Daphnia pulex: one gene and its partner. The protein of the gene in region 2 interacts with the protein of the main gene of each other region in a pairwise test. Links are inferred from orthologs where the notes say so. Each region holds a gene or a part of one and is shown on either strand. Other genes may lie near its edges.

Region 1 (8,787 bases), about 2.6 Mb from region 2:
TTTTTTTAGCATTTGATTATCGATTCGATCTCGATCACGCTCTATAAATTGAAAAATTGGTGTGATGTCATAGATAAAGACCACGGGTCTTTATAATTAGTGGTCTTTAGGTCAACCGCTTCCTCTTGATCAGAAAAAAATAAGCGATCAATCGTGATAAACTAATCGATCGCGTAAACTGGTTTTCAGTATGTTTGGCACCTAGATGGCACCGGCGTTTCTCCCTTTTTCAAATTCTTCTGAACAAATACTTAAATTTCTCGTTATATTAATTATCAGTAATAGAAACATTTAGCAAGCCAATAACTATTTTTTTTTTTTTGTAAAATCTGATTTACCCACAAAAAAATTATAGAGCCAACATATAGGGCTGTGGCCCGGGCGATGAAAACCCGGGCCACCGCCCGGGCTGAACGAAAAAAAACCCAACCCGACTCGACCCATCGAGGCATTTTTTTTAACGGGGCGGGCGACGGGTTGAACTCCCGGTACCGCGGGCCAACCCGAGCGGTGGCGCCATCTAGTAGTCACATAGAGAAGCTCGTTATTCTCTATGCCTGCGGCCTCAAAATATTGCCGCCAAATGCTCTACGATAATTTCGTAGCATGAAAAGTAGGATAAGTGGTAGAAAAGGGCGTTCAGGGGTGTTCAGAAGACAGAATTGACGTGTCACTGTTAGAAGAAGAAGATAATTAAGAAATTTAGGGAATTTTTTTAAGTTTGTAAAAAAAAAAGTGTGTTTGACCCGATTTTTTACCCGGGCCGTTACCCGACCGGTAAAAATTTTTTGACCCATGGGTTGGCCCGGGCCAAACCCGTTCACTCAGTTGGCCCAACCCGCTCCGACCCGCGGAAGAAGAAAAACCCATCTAAAAAACCCATTGAAAAAAAACCCGCTAAAAACGTCCCGGGCCACAGCCCTAAACATACGGATCGTCGATTATCGTCCAAGACTCCTGTCTTTATTTTACAGCAGTCATGGCTCATGGGTTTCGACTTTGGACTTGGATTGACTGTTGAGTGTTGAGTCATCAATGATTGAGACATCAAGTTGATTCAGTGCAACTCAGTGAATTAAGTTGACTGTTGGCCACTACAAAAAAATCCCTTTACTTATTAATAACACCCTTTGGTATCGGGCAGTTTAAAAAACGTATTGTACTTGAGTGAATTCTATTTATAAACGTTTAGTCGCGTTTAGTCTACACAATGGCTTATCAGCACTATCAAGGGCCGGGTGCGGTTCCAGCTGCTCCAAATCGTGATTTTCTTTGGCAGGTGTTTCAAAGGTTAAACAATTTTGTTGTGGGTTAAATTCAGGGAGAAAATTACAACTAAAATATATTTATTGAAATTTTTAGAGTTGACAAAGATAGAAGTGGAGCAATAACTGCCGAAGAGCTGCAATCAGCTCTATCCAATGGAACATGGGCTCCATTTAACTCGGAAACTGTTAGACTTATGATTGGTATGTGTTTGACAGCTGTATGAGAGGCATTAATGATAATTTTGTATCCCTTTGTACTAATGTTCCGTTTTGAATTGTGCACTACTACAGGTATGTTTGATCGTCAACAAAGAGGAACTATTTCCTTTGAAGATTTTGGAGCAATCTGGAAGTATGTCACTGATTGGCAAACTTGCTTTAGAAGTTTTGACAGAGATAATTCGGGGAACATTGATGGCAATGAACTAAGAACAGCACTTACAAGTAGTTTGTCATTAAAGTTGGCTGACAATTTTTAAATATACTAAGTGTTCTTTTGTGTTAATATAGGTTTCGGCTATCGTTTGCAAGACGGAACTCATCATATGTTGCTTCGAAAATTCGATCGTATGGGAAAAGGAACGATATATTTTGATGATTTCATTCAGTGTTGCATCGTTTTACATGTAAGAAAGATTTTTACATATCTATGATTTAAATGAAAGTATCATTTTTTCATATATCTATATTGTTTTCAATGACAGAACTTGACTTCAGCGTTTCGTCAATTCGATACCGATCAAGACGGTGTCATTACTATCGGATATGAACATTTTCTTCAAATGGTCCTCAACACCCGCGTATAAGTTTCAGCTAATATACCTAAGCTACTAAATTTACCACTTCCTTATTGCTGTTTGTGTATGTTTCTTTGCTCATATAGAGATTCTGTAACAGCCAATATCTTGATTTTTCCTGGCAGTTGATTGAACTCTTCTCCCTTTTGAATAAACTTGCATATGAAATGTTATTTTACTGTGATATAACTACTGTGTGAATCAGTATAACACCTTGTGTGCGATCTGATTGCTTGATAATATTGTTGCTCAAGGATCAGCATCAATCGTACACAGCAACGGAACTTTTCGTAATAGCACACAACGCACTGTAAACAAACTACAGCAATAGGGCATCTATTTCGTATCTGTCGTGTAAAGATAAAGCGATATAATCAAGATAAAATGAGTCATTTTAGAAGGTCTGTTATGCCAGCGCATTGTCGTAGAGGTAAAGTGTGCCTGCCCTATTCTATTCGACTTTTTTAACATGTTTCCAATATTTTTTCCCTGACAATCCAGAAAATAGAATACGGAAATAGAATTTAACCATGAACAAAAATTGATGTTAGTAAAAGTGAGTGATTATTTAGCTTATCATTCACTTCTGCAACTTTATATGTTCAGATTCTTTTTTGGGCGTAAACGGGAAGTTTACGAGGGTACGAGTAATTTATTGTCATTGTAGTCAGGTTTGTCCTCAAATCGACATAACCCATACTTATTAGCCTACGTCACCAAATTGTAGAAAATATTTCCGCGATGAATGTATAGGATAGTTGGCAACATTACAGAACAGTTTATTAATTATAGCATTTGTGTTAATAGTAAATATTTAGCAGTCGTATTGTTATTCAACAACTTCATTTTTATTGAGCGCACGTTATTTCGTTTATACATGTAGCCTATCTTGGACCTTTATTTTCTGTACCGTTAATTCTTTATTCATCATCGTGGTATTCTAGAATAACCAGACGCATTTAGTTTCATGATATAAGTTATTTTATTTTATTTTATTTTTTTAGATTGATGATGCGATAAATCAAACGTTCTGACTTCTGAGTTATCGTGAAAAATGGAGGCATGCAAAGACCTTTTACCCTATGTTTCGAAATTTTACAAGGGTGCTACACATATTTCAATATACACTGTTACAATTTACTCTTTTATCAGAACAATCAATTCAAACTTCTTTTTTTTTACTCCTGAACTCATAACGCACAGCCATCACAATAACTGATTGTCTTATAGGCTAGTCCAAACTCCAAACTAGCTATATGAATGTTTGAATAAGACATTAACATTGGAAAAGTAATTGGTGCTTAATGTTTAGTGTGTTTTATTACATTATTTTGCGTTCAAACAACATACAATCACGAAAGAGATGCGCACTTAAGATCAATTCATGGCGTCAGTCTGTTTCCTGGGCAAATACAAAAATCCTGTTTATATTATATTGGTAATAAAATTTTCCAATTATAGGACTAATATCCTTTTACGATTGTAATTCATGCGAGATATCATCGGATGCGTAAAGCGTTACAGATGCTATAAGGTTATTTGGCATCACCTTACATTCAAAAAGAGAAATTCATTAAAAGCTTTCAGTATTTTAGGAATCTAAAAATCGTTATTCACCTCGAAAATAATATCCTCAACCCCGTAGCAGAACGTAGAACCGAAGGGGTTTGTTGTATTCGTCGATGACGATCGATGTAAAACAATCGGACGTGAACTAGGCTGCACTTTCTCGCAAACTTCATCCCAACGTGAATAAGCAGATACCTACATTCGTAAATAATTTATGACATTGGTTTCACGCAAGAACATATATGTGAATTGAAAACCAACAGTGATAAATGTCGGCGATAAATCGACCAATCTCGAATTATCGACGGAAGTGGCCTTGGTCGGCAACTGGAGCTTAAACTCACATCGGTGATACCTAATTGAGAGAGAATTTTAAAAAAAAATAATTAAGCATTGACCAGCTCCCACGCATTCACTGCAAAATGTTTCACTTACATATTGAAATTGTAATGTCCTGGATAATTCGTATGCAGTACGAACTTCTTCAACTTGTGATATTTCCCATCGAATAAAGCATCCTTTTTTAAAACGGGAAATTTGTAATGAAACTTTTAAAAATGAAATCTAGAATAATTTTAAGTATACTAATCCAAGAGTGAAGTAGTTGTAAAAATAATCCGAAAAAGAAGCTGGAGCTCGACGATGCGCCTGTGGACTGTGAATCCTCATTTTGTCTTCGTCCTACCATCGACGATAAGAATTAAATTTATAAAGTGCATGTACATATATTTGCACATTTTACTTTATAAAACACGCGAGATGGAGCTCCCAACAGCGTAAGCACATCTTCGGCAGAAGCTCCAAAAAATAATTCCTGGACACAGGCATGTCGTCTAGGTTCCAATACTTGAGATGGACCTAAAACGCAAAATTACATTGATTTGAAAGTTAGTTTCTAAATTTATCAATGTTTGAGCCGAACCTTCACAAATAATGGAGAGCTTGATACCAGATGTACATCCATTATGACGAATAACTTCGAGCCATTGCAGATAAGGATGAGAAAAAAAGCAGGATATCGGTAGCGAAGGTGGTTTGCTGTCAACCAAGCTGTTTCCACTGAAAATGAACATCTTTGTTGCTATAGGAGACGCGCCGTTGGTGAATTGAAGCGATCCAAGTCCTCGAACGTATCTCGGTTCGCTAGCCTGTTCAACTGGAAAGGTAAAAGATAGGCCACGGAAATTTAGAGTAAAGATTCTTTTCTCAGGATCATATATTCCAGGGTGTGTAGCTCCAAAAGAATGATCTATTTGATCTATGGTTGGGATAACATCAGTTGAATTGAAAACCAGGCCACTATATCAAAATAGGGCATGATTATTTCTCCTAATCTTGTCTAAATTTTAAAATATTTTTACTATTACCAGTATTTCAGTTTGATGAGATTCATGGCAAAAATCTCAATCACTTTTAGGCGCTGTGAAACTGAATCAAATAAAAGGCGAATTCCATCCAAAGTAAGACTTAAAATAAGGTCAGAAGCCAAAGGGTCCTATACAGCAAATAACATGTATGTTCACGAAGTTTGTGTGTGTATGCTAAAAGATTTTACTTACATTCTCATTATATATTACTTGGACTCTCTTCATAACTGCTACCTGAGACATGCAGATGCAAACTGCTTGAGAAAACTGCATTCCTATAATGAAGATTGAAAAGTACACAAACCAATATAAGTATACTGTGCGATTCCGTATGCTTGTGTACACTCAATGGCATAACGAATATTTTGCAATTCAAGAACCAAAAACGATTACTAATCTCAGAGAATTTTTTCCTCTAAACCTTACCTAATATAAACTCCCAATGTTCGCAACCCAACGATCTCTCAGGGATTACTTCTAAATCAAGCATCTTAAGATTAAGAACTTTGCAATATTGTTGAAACGTAATTTCCGTTCAGTCGAACCCAACACTGAGGACTGAAAACGCTGAAAACAATAATAATGTTTTGGTTTTTCTTTGTTGTGGAACAGCCGTCATCTAGTGGAGAAAAAGGCAACCAATGTAAATATGTCAAATTCCGTTCCCAAACAGCTGTTGAAAGCCTTGAAGGCTATACAATCGATCGACAATCCAAAATCCAATGTCCATTCTAATATTCAGACTTTCAGAGTTTAATTAAGTAGTTCGGCGGTTTTTGTGGTAGCTGTTGTCCATTAGAATCACGTTGTTGTATCTCAGTCACGTTTACTAGTAATTTGCTACTAATTTTGTAGATCATTTCTTTTGTTAATCAATACTCTTCAAAAGCTGGAATGTCGAGGTTGCTGTTAGCATTAATTAAACGGTAAGATTTCGATTCTACCTTGAATACTTCTGTGAAACCTACAAATATTATCTACTGCAATTATTCGGCATAATTTCTTTTTGAGGTTTCTGGTTGCGGAAGTTTGATATTATATTTTTGGCTTCGATTGAGCTGCTATTCTTCGTTTCGTTTTTTATGGTAGCTAGCTGTCGTTTGAATTTGTTAATTTTTTCATCGTCTTGTAATCTTGTAGCTAACTTGTATTAATATTTAATGCCAAATTATCCTGCAGTAAAGATATTTTCCCGTTCATATGTTTACTTGTTGTGCTATAATTTGCCGATCTTTCGTAAAAGAAGGGAATTTTTGTTTAACCTTAAGGAAAAAGATTTTTTCCCCGCCCACGCCCCACGGCAACTATAAATTTGTCACGTAGACCAAAAGTGGCTAAGAAACCATGCACCATTGCAACTGAAATAGACAAACTGACAGAGAAATGAATTAGATTATACTGTCCTTAAAGGGGATTTTTTTTTTCATATGAATTTATTCTTTTATTTTTGTCAGAATTTTTTTGGCTTTTAAAAAAATCAAGGGGTTAGCAATTGAAATGTACAGTACTATTTCCTTATTTTAAGCAAAATTTTTTTTTTTTTTTTAATTTTGGGGTAGGCTAGGCTTTCTTTTTTTCTTACAGGCCAAATTCAAAGGCGAGGGACTGAAGAATCCAGGAAACGGCTTTTCACACTCAACTCTTCCCCCTTTTTTCTTCCCCTTATCTTCTCCTTATCAGCTCAAGTGGAAATATTGTTTTTCTTTTATTTTGAATACAATTTTAGTTGCGGAGCCCTTGAAAAAAAAATGAGTCTACGGGCTAGTAATGAAGGCCAATTATTCCGTTATATTGAGAAAGGCTGAATAATTTAAACCTCGGTACTTGCTCCATTTCTTGTTGGTTTCGGTCTACAGTTTGGTCGATTTGATAAGTGATACCATGCGTTATCGACTTCAGTAGCATACTGTATTACTGTAGCTATGGCTGCATATGGTGACCATTCATTACGTCACAGCTGTCTGCTGTTTTTTCCTTCCCTGATGTCCTTGGCTCACGAACAACAATCCAAGGCAAGGAATTACTGCGATCAGTGCCTTAAGCGTTCTCTTTCCCAACAGAATCCTTACAATTCTTGATTCTTCGATCAAACTTTTCTGTTCAAAAGGGCATAATTCTTGGGAAATAAGAAATGTTGTATCAAATCTGCCGTAGCCGATTCCTTTACTGTACCAAAACATTTAGCGCTAAATTTGAACTGGAAGGACCTGTTGCTTGATTGAAAAACAAAAACCCCCCACACAACGAGAAACCTTGTAAAGATGTGCTACTCATTTTGTATCGAACGTTGCTTTTTTCGGCTCTCCCTGTTTCATTGATATTCATAGTACGTATGTTTAAAAAATGTTTACCGCGGTCACGTAGTCGCTATCGGCTCTCCTTGGTAGACCTTCATCGTTGCGAAATTTGTTTTTCTCCACTGGTTGTTTACGTCTTTGTTTTGAAGTCAACAAGAGACGGATACCGGCCATAAGTAGAATTGAGGGAAGGTCCTAGGGTTCAGCTGCTTTTGGGTGTTCGAGTTTTTTTTTTAAGTGGATGGAGGGGGGGGGGGGGTCGGGTGAGCATCAGAATCGCCGCATCATTTTTCGACTTACATAACACAGCGTGATCATAGCATGTTTTGCTTTCTTCACGAGATCAAAATTGTAGATGAGAAAGCCAGCGAATCTTACGTCTAATGATTCCATAAATGAAAATTTTCCACAGCAATCTTCAAGCTTGTCCGGTTAATCCATTAAAGCGCATTTGGACTCAAATACGGGAAAACACTTTTTATAGTCGTAGGTGAAAGTCACGAAAATTGTCTCTCGTACTTAATTAAACTACATTTTTTTTGTGTGTGTGTGTGTGGGGGGGGGGGGGAGGAATTACAAGGCAAACAGGTCGAACGATTTTTTTTTGTTCCTTATTTTACCTGCAAAAACTTTAACTAGAAAACACAAAAAAAAAAAAAGAACAACACATTGTAGACATGCATGACGATTGGACGGACTTCCAGGAAACCTTTAGTCTGCATATTGTCATACCACACATCACTTGCAAATTCTACTTGCATAAACTTTTGGATTTTGTTTTTCTATTTTCTAGTGATGGGACGTGACGCGATTTACGTTCACGTTCACGTGTTGTTGACGTGTTTACTTGCTTTAGACTTACTACTTGAAATCATGTTTAGACTGCTGTTTCTTGTTTTGTTCAACAATTTCGCAATCGAAGTGTTTTTCTGTGTTGTTTGTATCGGCTCTGTCTGCACGGGTCGACTACGAAATATGTGGAAGTTGAATGCTCCACTTATTGGCTTAACCTGAACCCATTTCGTATCAATGCGTCTGTATACATTTAATAGTGTGTGTCAATGACGAGAGCAATGCTGCACGATTTTTTTGGGAGAATAATACAAATTGCTAATTGAATAATGCAGGTTTAATTTACAATGAAAAATAGATTCAGTCAACGGAATCAAATGATTAGCTTACCGGAGTCTCCGGAAGAGAGTGACAAACTCATTCGCATTTTCGTACGTCATTTCATTTGTGACGGCCTAATTCAATTGGGAACGTAAACAACTATTATTTTCTGGTTGTTTGTGATCTCCCAAGGTTATCTCCGCGTGAGTTGCCGACCAATCGTAGAAAGGGGCTCGCCTCTCTCGTGCTTTCGCTGGAAAGCTGTAGGTGAGGTCTAGAGTATAAAAGCGCTCACACATAGTATGACAGAAGACAGAGACTGTCTACTATCCAAAACGTTCGCAAATATTTCAGCGGTAGCAAAAAGTGCAACAAC
Region 2 (6,946 bases):
CATGCTTGTCATTTTGCCTGCGGTAATAAAAAAAAAGTAGATGCACTAAATCCTGCAATCGCAGCATTTTATATTTCCGTTTTTTGTTTAGGTGAAAGATTCTGACGCTTCCCGAAATACTCCTAAATCCGAAGATGGAGTTGTTTCCACTCGAGGAGCGCAAGCACCCCAAGGCCCATTGGATGCATTTTTAAGATCTATCAAACTCTTCTTTACGAAGGACATGGGTCTACTCTCTGTAGCATTCTTTTATATTGGTAATTCGATTGAACCTTTTACCTTTCCATTCAGAAACATGTTTTTTAAATTTCAATTTCTTAGGTATCGAATATTCCTTTTTAAGCGGCGTCTACAGCCCCAGTATTGGATTCACGCTGGAGTTTGAAGACAGCAAACGGTTGGTGGGTTTATCCGGTATTTTTATTGGCGTTGGTGAAATCGCAGGTAAGGTTATACATAGAAATGACTGTCCGTTTATTTATGTTTTAATGACTTTTGGTTTTCTTTTTAAGGTGGAGCTCTATTTGGAATTCTAGGCTCGAAAACTGTTCGATACGGTCGTGATCCCATTATTCTGACTGGATTTTTAACTCAGGCCCTCGGCTTTTTCCTCATCTTCCTCAACATTCCAAATAACGCTCCATTTGGGGATACCACTGATACTGGTTTCATTACAAGCAGGTATGAAATATAGCTTGTACGAACTTTATTGATAAAGATATATTTTATTTTTCTATGCAGTCCATTTGTAGCTATTTTCAGCAGTTTTTTGGTAGCCTTTGGTGATGCTTGCTTTAATACGCAAGTCTATAGTATTCTTGGTGGTAAGTACAAAAATATTGGATAAAAAAAAGGATGTGAATTTATACTCATCTGTTTTTTGCTATTAGGTATTTATCCGAACGACAGCGCACCAGCTTTTGCTCTCTTTAAGTTTGTTTCGGTAATTAGAACCCGTTATTTTATTTTATCTCTGTAGAATTTAAAATCTAACGTTTTAATTTTTTTCGCATTAGTCTATGGCATCTGCCGCAAGCTTCTTCTACAGTCCATACATTGGAATCCACCCACAGTTAATAATCATTGGAATTCTTCTACTAGCTGGAACGGTCTGTTTCTGGCTTGTCGAATGGCGAAGTGTTTACAAACGAGCTCACCTGATAGAGACGAGTAATCCCGACTCCGCAATGGATAAGGATTTTGATTGATTTGGAATTCATTATTTATGTTCTGGGCATACATTCTATTACAAAACGGGCGAGGGTAACTATATAGACGAAATATTTTTGTAAAATAACTTGATCATCCATTTAATTATTAACTCAAACTTTTGTGCTATTGTATTCATGTCATTCTTTCTTAGTTTATTCATAAAATAGTCGTGAGGAAACGTGATAAAATGTTTAGGTGAAAAATAATTGGAGACAGCAAAAACTGAATAATTTTCACGGAAAATTTGTCAACGGCGGAATTTTGCAAACATTGAAATATTGTGCTGTGCTGTGCACAGTGCTTTCATCACACCACGTCCTAGTGCATCATACCTACTGCTACATCAGTCATATCGGCTCTTATTGCAATGGAATTAGGAATACCGTAAATTAGAAAATTTTTATTTGTTCAGTAAAAGTTCAGTAACAAGATTTTACCTGCGACAACACTGAACAATCAGCCTTCAACGCACGAATCTAAATGCAGACTGACTTTGAATCAGGTAGGCTCAGGTGATGCATCATAATTCAAACCATTTGTAAGACATACAGTTTGTAGGCTTAGGGTGTCTTGTCATTTTGTTCTGGTTAATGATGGAATGCTGACTGAATTCCAATCATTAGAGAGCAAATGTGGTTTTGGATCCATATGTAATATAGTTTGCTACACTACATCTTAAGCACAGTTTTCCTAAGGTTATTTGTGTTTGCATGTAGACTCAAAATAGGAAAGGCCATGCAAGAAAGCATTTCTAAAAAAAGTATCCACTTGAGCTTCCTTCTTTCTCCTTTCAGTAATCAATCGGAATGCTTCCTTGCTGCTGCGCTATCTTAGAAGTAAATAGGTGCCGCTATATCCTATAGACATTTTTTTTTCGACAAGCTGATTTTAGTAGTAGAGCTTCAGAGTATATTTTTTGAAATAATTTTATTCGTCAGCTTTCCTTTTAAATGTGGTGGACACGAATTTTCCGAAATCGATCGGGTTGATCTACAAGAAAATTAGAAATGCAAATTGTAATAATAAATAATAAGTTACCATTCCTTGAGCAGGAAATGAATTTGTATTGACGTTCGTTCGACGATACACATCAACGTGACATCACTGAAATTTTGTTGTGGTGTGTGGTCAGTATGTTATAAACTTATGAATGGACTATTTATATTTTTTGATGATTTGTTAATTATAACAGCATGTGAAAAAATAGGTTGAAGACGAGCGATGGGAATCGATGAATGATATATCACGCTCGGACAATCAAGCGAGTTAACAGTTTGAAGTCAAGTCAGCAAGTTTTTTCCTATTGAGGCTTTTTGAGGGTTAATAGGTTATTTACCTAAGTTCCGTTTTCTTATCAAAGCACGCGAATGCGGTAAGACGATTGAGATCTACCGAGAGATTGGTGCAATTAAAGTCTATTCTAATAGGAAAGAACATGATTATTATTAGAAGGTTAGTTAGAAATTAGGCGGGGATCGCCTTTTGTGGTTAACTGAAACGTAGACATCGCACCAAGAGCTCACATCTATGCATCACTTGAAAACACAGCATTTTTTAAATTCAAAAGAAAATTTCAAAATGTAGACTAAAAATTGTGTTCTTTTTTATGTCTTTTTCCCGAGTGCGTATGATATATCATACGAATTAACGTTTGATGCATGGCTGAATAATATATTCAAGAGAAAAATAGAAAAAAAGCCGTGTAACAACGATCAGAATTAAAAGGAAAATTATTTCCATGCATTCTGTCATGCTATATCTCACATTTAAAAGAACCACCAAGTTACAGGGGACAAAAAAGAAAACCCTAATTGGTAAACCACGCATAGAGAAACCCGAAAAAGGAGTACAACAACTGACCCAAACCAAAGCCCCAACTCACTTCTTCTTTTTGCGATTTTTCTTACTTTTACGGCCAGGACCAGAACCATCCTGGTCAAAAGAGGGAACAGTCACAACGTCCTCTTCATTAGAACTACTTTCACCGGCGCTTCTTGTCGCATCGGGAAAGAAGGCCACATCAACTGGCACTGAGCCACTGACAACTTCATCGCTGGCAAAGAAACTGTAATCTTTGTCACCGCAATCCTGGTTGTCCTTGACCGCCGATGAATTGCGGTTAAGAGAGTCAATGGCGAATTTTGAGGGCATGGATGGTGATCGCAAGCACGTCTCGCTTTCTAGCTCAAAATCCAGAAGATCCTCGTCAATGTTGAGCGATGCCGGTGGGTTCGACGAGGAAACTGATGTTTGAGGCCAGTTGAGACGTTCATCATCCATGAAATAGTGTGTTCGACGTTCACTGCCATCATCTTCTTCTGAACAAGGCAAACTTTTAATTCTATCAATTTTAATATGTATAGGGAAAGAAAAGACGTACCAGGAACATTCGATCCTACTAAAGGCATTTCTTGCATTGCGTCGGCTAAATTTTCTTTCAATTGCAGTTCCATTTCGACTTTGGGGACCATATCGGAAATAGAACTCTCGGAATCACAACGACGCGTGCCATAGCGTTCCCGCCCACAACCAGTCAAGAACCTCGGAGACTGTTCGTAACTACCTGTAAAACGCAAATAAGTATTATAGAATATCGTTGTGTTATTACATCAAGTTCAAATGTTATTTACTAGCTGATCCTTCGCCAGTAATCACAGGTAGTCCTTGAATTGGCATTTCATTCTTGTCTGGCATATTTACTGGGTTAGAACGAGCTGGACGTGTCAAAATATCTACTTCAGAGGCCTCTATTTCAGCAAGACTGTTTGAAAAAATAACCCAAATTATTGATGTTGTCACAAATTGAAAAATTGTACGTATAATACCTGGATGTGCTGTCACGTTTAAGAGTCTTAAATGTAAACTGAGGTCCCATCCAAAGTCTTCTGTGCGGCCCAGCATGCGTGTTGATTTCAACCTAACGATTCAATGCGGTTAAAGGAAATGGTAAGGTAAAAATTCAATAAGAAAAATCAAACTTACATGTGCTAGCCAGGTTTCTTGCATCTCTTTGCCAGACAATGGGGCGCTAGTTGAAGGAGATTCGGTTTTATCGTCCGATTCAGGTCCGTTGGTGATTAGGGAAAGGATGTGTGATGCTAAAGGAGGTGGTAGATCTGCGGCATTGTAGAGCGGTCGATGTATAGGCCACTGGGCCAGCGGCACAATGTCCAGCTCTATGGAGCTCTTGTCGCAAATCTTTTCGCGCGGTATCCCAGTCGCCAGCCGAGGTTCGAAGCCATACTCCACCAGGGCGCCATGGCACGACATCACATAGAGTGATTCAGCAGTACGTCGCTGAAGACGGTCACGATGGGCGGCTGAACCTCCGCCTACATTTAAAACGTGACCTGCGAGTGGTGCAGCTCCCCGTGGAGGAGCGAAACAGCAGGTGACCCGGACGACTCCCGTCCCGTCGTCCAAATCGGAGAACTTGCGAGAATTGGAAAGCCCAGGAGAGGCGGGAATGCCTCGATTTCCAGTAGCTCCACCCATGAAAGACGATCGCAGTTGTACGAGTGGGACAACAACTGTTGGATGAGGATAAGGTGGCAGTCGTGGATTGGGATAGGGCAAGAGAGTCGTCGATTCCAACGGGCGACTATTATTAGGTGAACCGGAGAGTACGGGGCTACTGCGACCCGATGAAGGCGTGTCGTCCAAACCTGCACTACGATGGAATCGACTGAGGCGGTTTACTACTCGTTGAGATGTGTGTGTTCTCACGCCCACAGAACCACCGTATGGACTGATTGGGAAAACATGCGTCGTGCCACGCATCGTCGTTACGGCCACCCAACGCGAGTCGGTGGCAAAGGCCACGTCTTGTACTCGAGCCGTAGTGTCGCCACGATAGAGGGTGTACAAATGGTGGACGGCACTTTGCTTCGTACTACAAGGCGCTGGATGCAAGCGAAATATGTGAAAGTTGTGTCCCTGCTTGTCGGCTGTGAATAGTAGGGTCCCTGAAGGGTCAAACGCCAGGTAACTGATGGCCTGATTGGCGTGAGCAACAAAGTGCGCTACCACGCCGTCAACGTCCTCCCGAAGATTGACTTCTCCGCGTGCCAAACCTTCCAGGTCGATGACAGTCACTACACCGGGCTGAGGGCCCTGTTGGGACGATGGCGATGCCGACGAAGAAATGTTTCTTTGACCAGTCAGAAATGTTTCGCCAAATTCTCGGAGTCCTTTGGTCAAGCTCTTGGCAGCGTGGATGACGGTGGCTGTGTAAGACTGAATCCCTTCACCCTCGAAACCGCCTCCGCATCGGTGAATATTAATGAGTCGCTTTTCCGCATAGGCCAGCCAACGTGAACCCAAGGCGACTGGGTTTGAGTAAGGGCTGGAACTAGGTGGGTAGCAATGAGTCAGTACTACTTGATCCTCGAATGTAGTACTGCTGAAGACGGCCACCTTCTCGGGGAAGGTTACAACCACGGCACGTCGATTGGCTAGTATATCCGCCACGGGGTTCTTGAAGCGAATAGTTTTGACTTGTTCTCCCGTTCGTAGCGAAAAGAATGCCACCGTATGGAGTTGGGCAGCAGGGCCAGTGCTTTCATTCATAGCTACAATCGGACGTTTGGCCGCGAAGAGATCTTCCGATATGTTCGAGACTGGATTGGGCAGTAGGCGAAACACTTTAACAGGTCCTGAATTCCACGAGAGAATCTCTTGAGCCTCTCCCGATGCTTGAATAGTCCACACCTAAATAGCGGGAAAATAATCCATGTTTCTAATTTCCATTATTACTTGTACATGATGTGATTGTTACCTGAACTCCTGTGTTGTAGCCCAGTATGAGCAAGAGAGGTAGGTTGTTTTTGTGCAAAATGGAACTCTGCGAATGACAGTCCCCACAATCCATTTGCTCAATTTTAGCCCACAAGATAGGATCTGTTGCCTCCCCAGTAGGATGGTTGCATCCTCCATAAGCCTTTTCAAAATAAAACGGAGTTTGAGATCCAGCACTGACATTTTAAAGAACAATATTTCTTGGTACCACCTGTGGGACAACTTCATGGATGAATCCAGCCATACTTTCCATGAAAGACTTTTCAGCAACAGATTCCGGCCTGAGAGTAAGCCCTATAGGCCTGCTCAAGCGCCGCTGTGGGGACTCACTCGAGGACATCTCTGATTACAAAGAAGAGACTGACTGAAAAACCGTTTCCGAGAGTTGAGAGTGTCTCTTCTACTCTCACTTTTAAATTTATCCCAGAAAACCACCTAAAATTTAAAATCAAAGCTTCAAATGGAGAGTCCTAACTCACCCGTCAACATCAAATAGCAACAGTCAGAGAACGGTCGAGAAGTTTTAAGTGCGATAAGCAAACGAAGAGAGTAGGTCAATAGCAAAAGAACAACAAAGAAAAAGATTTGTTGACAAGGGCTATCCAAATGAGAATGATGAGGAGTAAATGTAACTAAGAGATGAAAATAAATAGGCCTTTAAAAACCAAGTGAAAACAAAGATAAAGTAAATTTTTTAAATGTGTACCTGATTTTGGGCAGACTACGTACGATCGCCCAAAAAACAACGAAGTATGATGATTTCACAGTCGATGACCTAAAGTTTACCTAGTTTTTTCTACGACTTACGTCTGCAGCTTGTTTACGGGAAACAGCTGAGTCTGTTTTTCATTGTCCCTTTCAGGGCGTATGCAAAATTGGAAATTATGTAATTTTATTCATTTGAAATGAAGATAAATTCATTTTGAATTTACAGTTA

The links. The genes of interacting proteins can lie anywhere in the genome.
Region 1: the proteins of breast carcinoma-amplified sequence 3 homolog (region 2) and PHAF1 protein CG7083-like interact in binary tests that used the Homo sapiens proteins (3 or more experiments, as listed by UniProt). The link is inferred for Daphnia pulex from reciprocal best matches to the Homo sapiens genes BCAS3 and PHAF1.

What each region holds. Positions count from the first base shown.
Region 1 is NC_060019.1:5,647,514-5,656,300, forward strand, and holds PHAF1 protein CG7083-like, read right to left. Parts: upstream 5,590-8,787; 5' UTR 5,492-5,589; coding exon 5,428-5,491; intron 5,277-5,427; coding exon 5,194-5,276; intron 5,130-5,193; coding exon 5,002-5,129; intron 4,934-5,001; coding exon 4,557-4,933; intron 4,493-4,556; coding exon 4,377-4,492; intron 4,316-4,376; coding exon 4,220-4,315; intron 4,153-4,219; coding exon 4,070-4,152; intron 3,990-4,069; coding exon 3,896-3,989; intron 3,830-3,895; coding exon 3,683-3,829; intron 3,615-3,682; coding exon 3,544-3,614; intron 3,468-3,543; coding exon 3,443-3,467; 3' UTR 3,367-3,442; downstream 1-3,366. Other genes in the region: programmed cell death protein 6-like, read left to right, coding at 1,211-1,290, 1,363-1,469, 1,560-1,712, 1,779-1,894, 1,973-2,074; phosphoenolpyruvate carboxykinase, cytosolic [GTP]-like, read left to right, coding at 8,714-8,787. UniProt on the Homo sapiens protein: Plays a regulatory role in autophagic activity. In complex with BCAS3, associates with the autophagosome formation site during both non-selective and selective autophagy.
Region 2 is NC_060019.1:8,235,629-8,242,574, forward strand, and holds breast carcinoma-amplified sequence 3 homolog, read right to left. Parts: upstream 6,876-6,946; 5' UTR 6,716-6,875; intron 6,665-6,715; exon of another isoform or gene 6,642-6,664; 5' UTR 6,499-6,641; coding exon 6,489-6,498; intron 6,445-6,488; exon of another isoform or gene 6,352-6,444; coding exon 6,221-6,351; intron 6,152-6,220; coding exon 5,990-6,151; intron 5,923-5,989; coding exon 4,195-5,922; intron 4,130-4,194; coding exon 4,038-4,129; intron 3,974-4,037; coding exon 3,843-3,973; intron 3,776-3,842; coding exon 3,593-3,775; intron 3,531-3,592; coding exon 3,091-3,530; 3' UTR 2,257-3,090; downstream 1-2,256. Other genes in the region: UNC93-like protein MFSD11, read left to right, coding at 1-22, 92-257, 322-444, 513-681, 742-824, 891-943, 1,017-1,208. UniProt on the Homo sapiens protein: Plays a role in angiogenesis. Participates in the regulation of cell polarity and directional endothelial cell migration by mediating both the activation and recruitment of CDC42 and the reorganization of the actin cytoskeleton at the cell leading edge.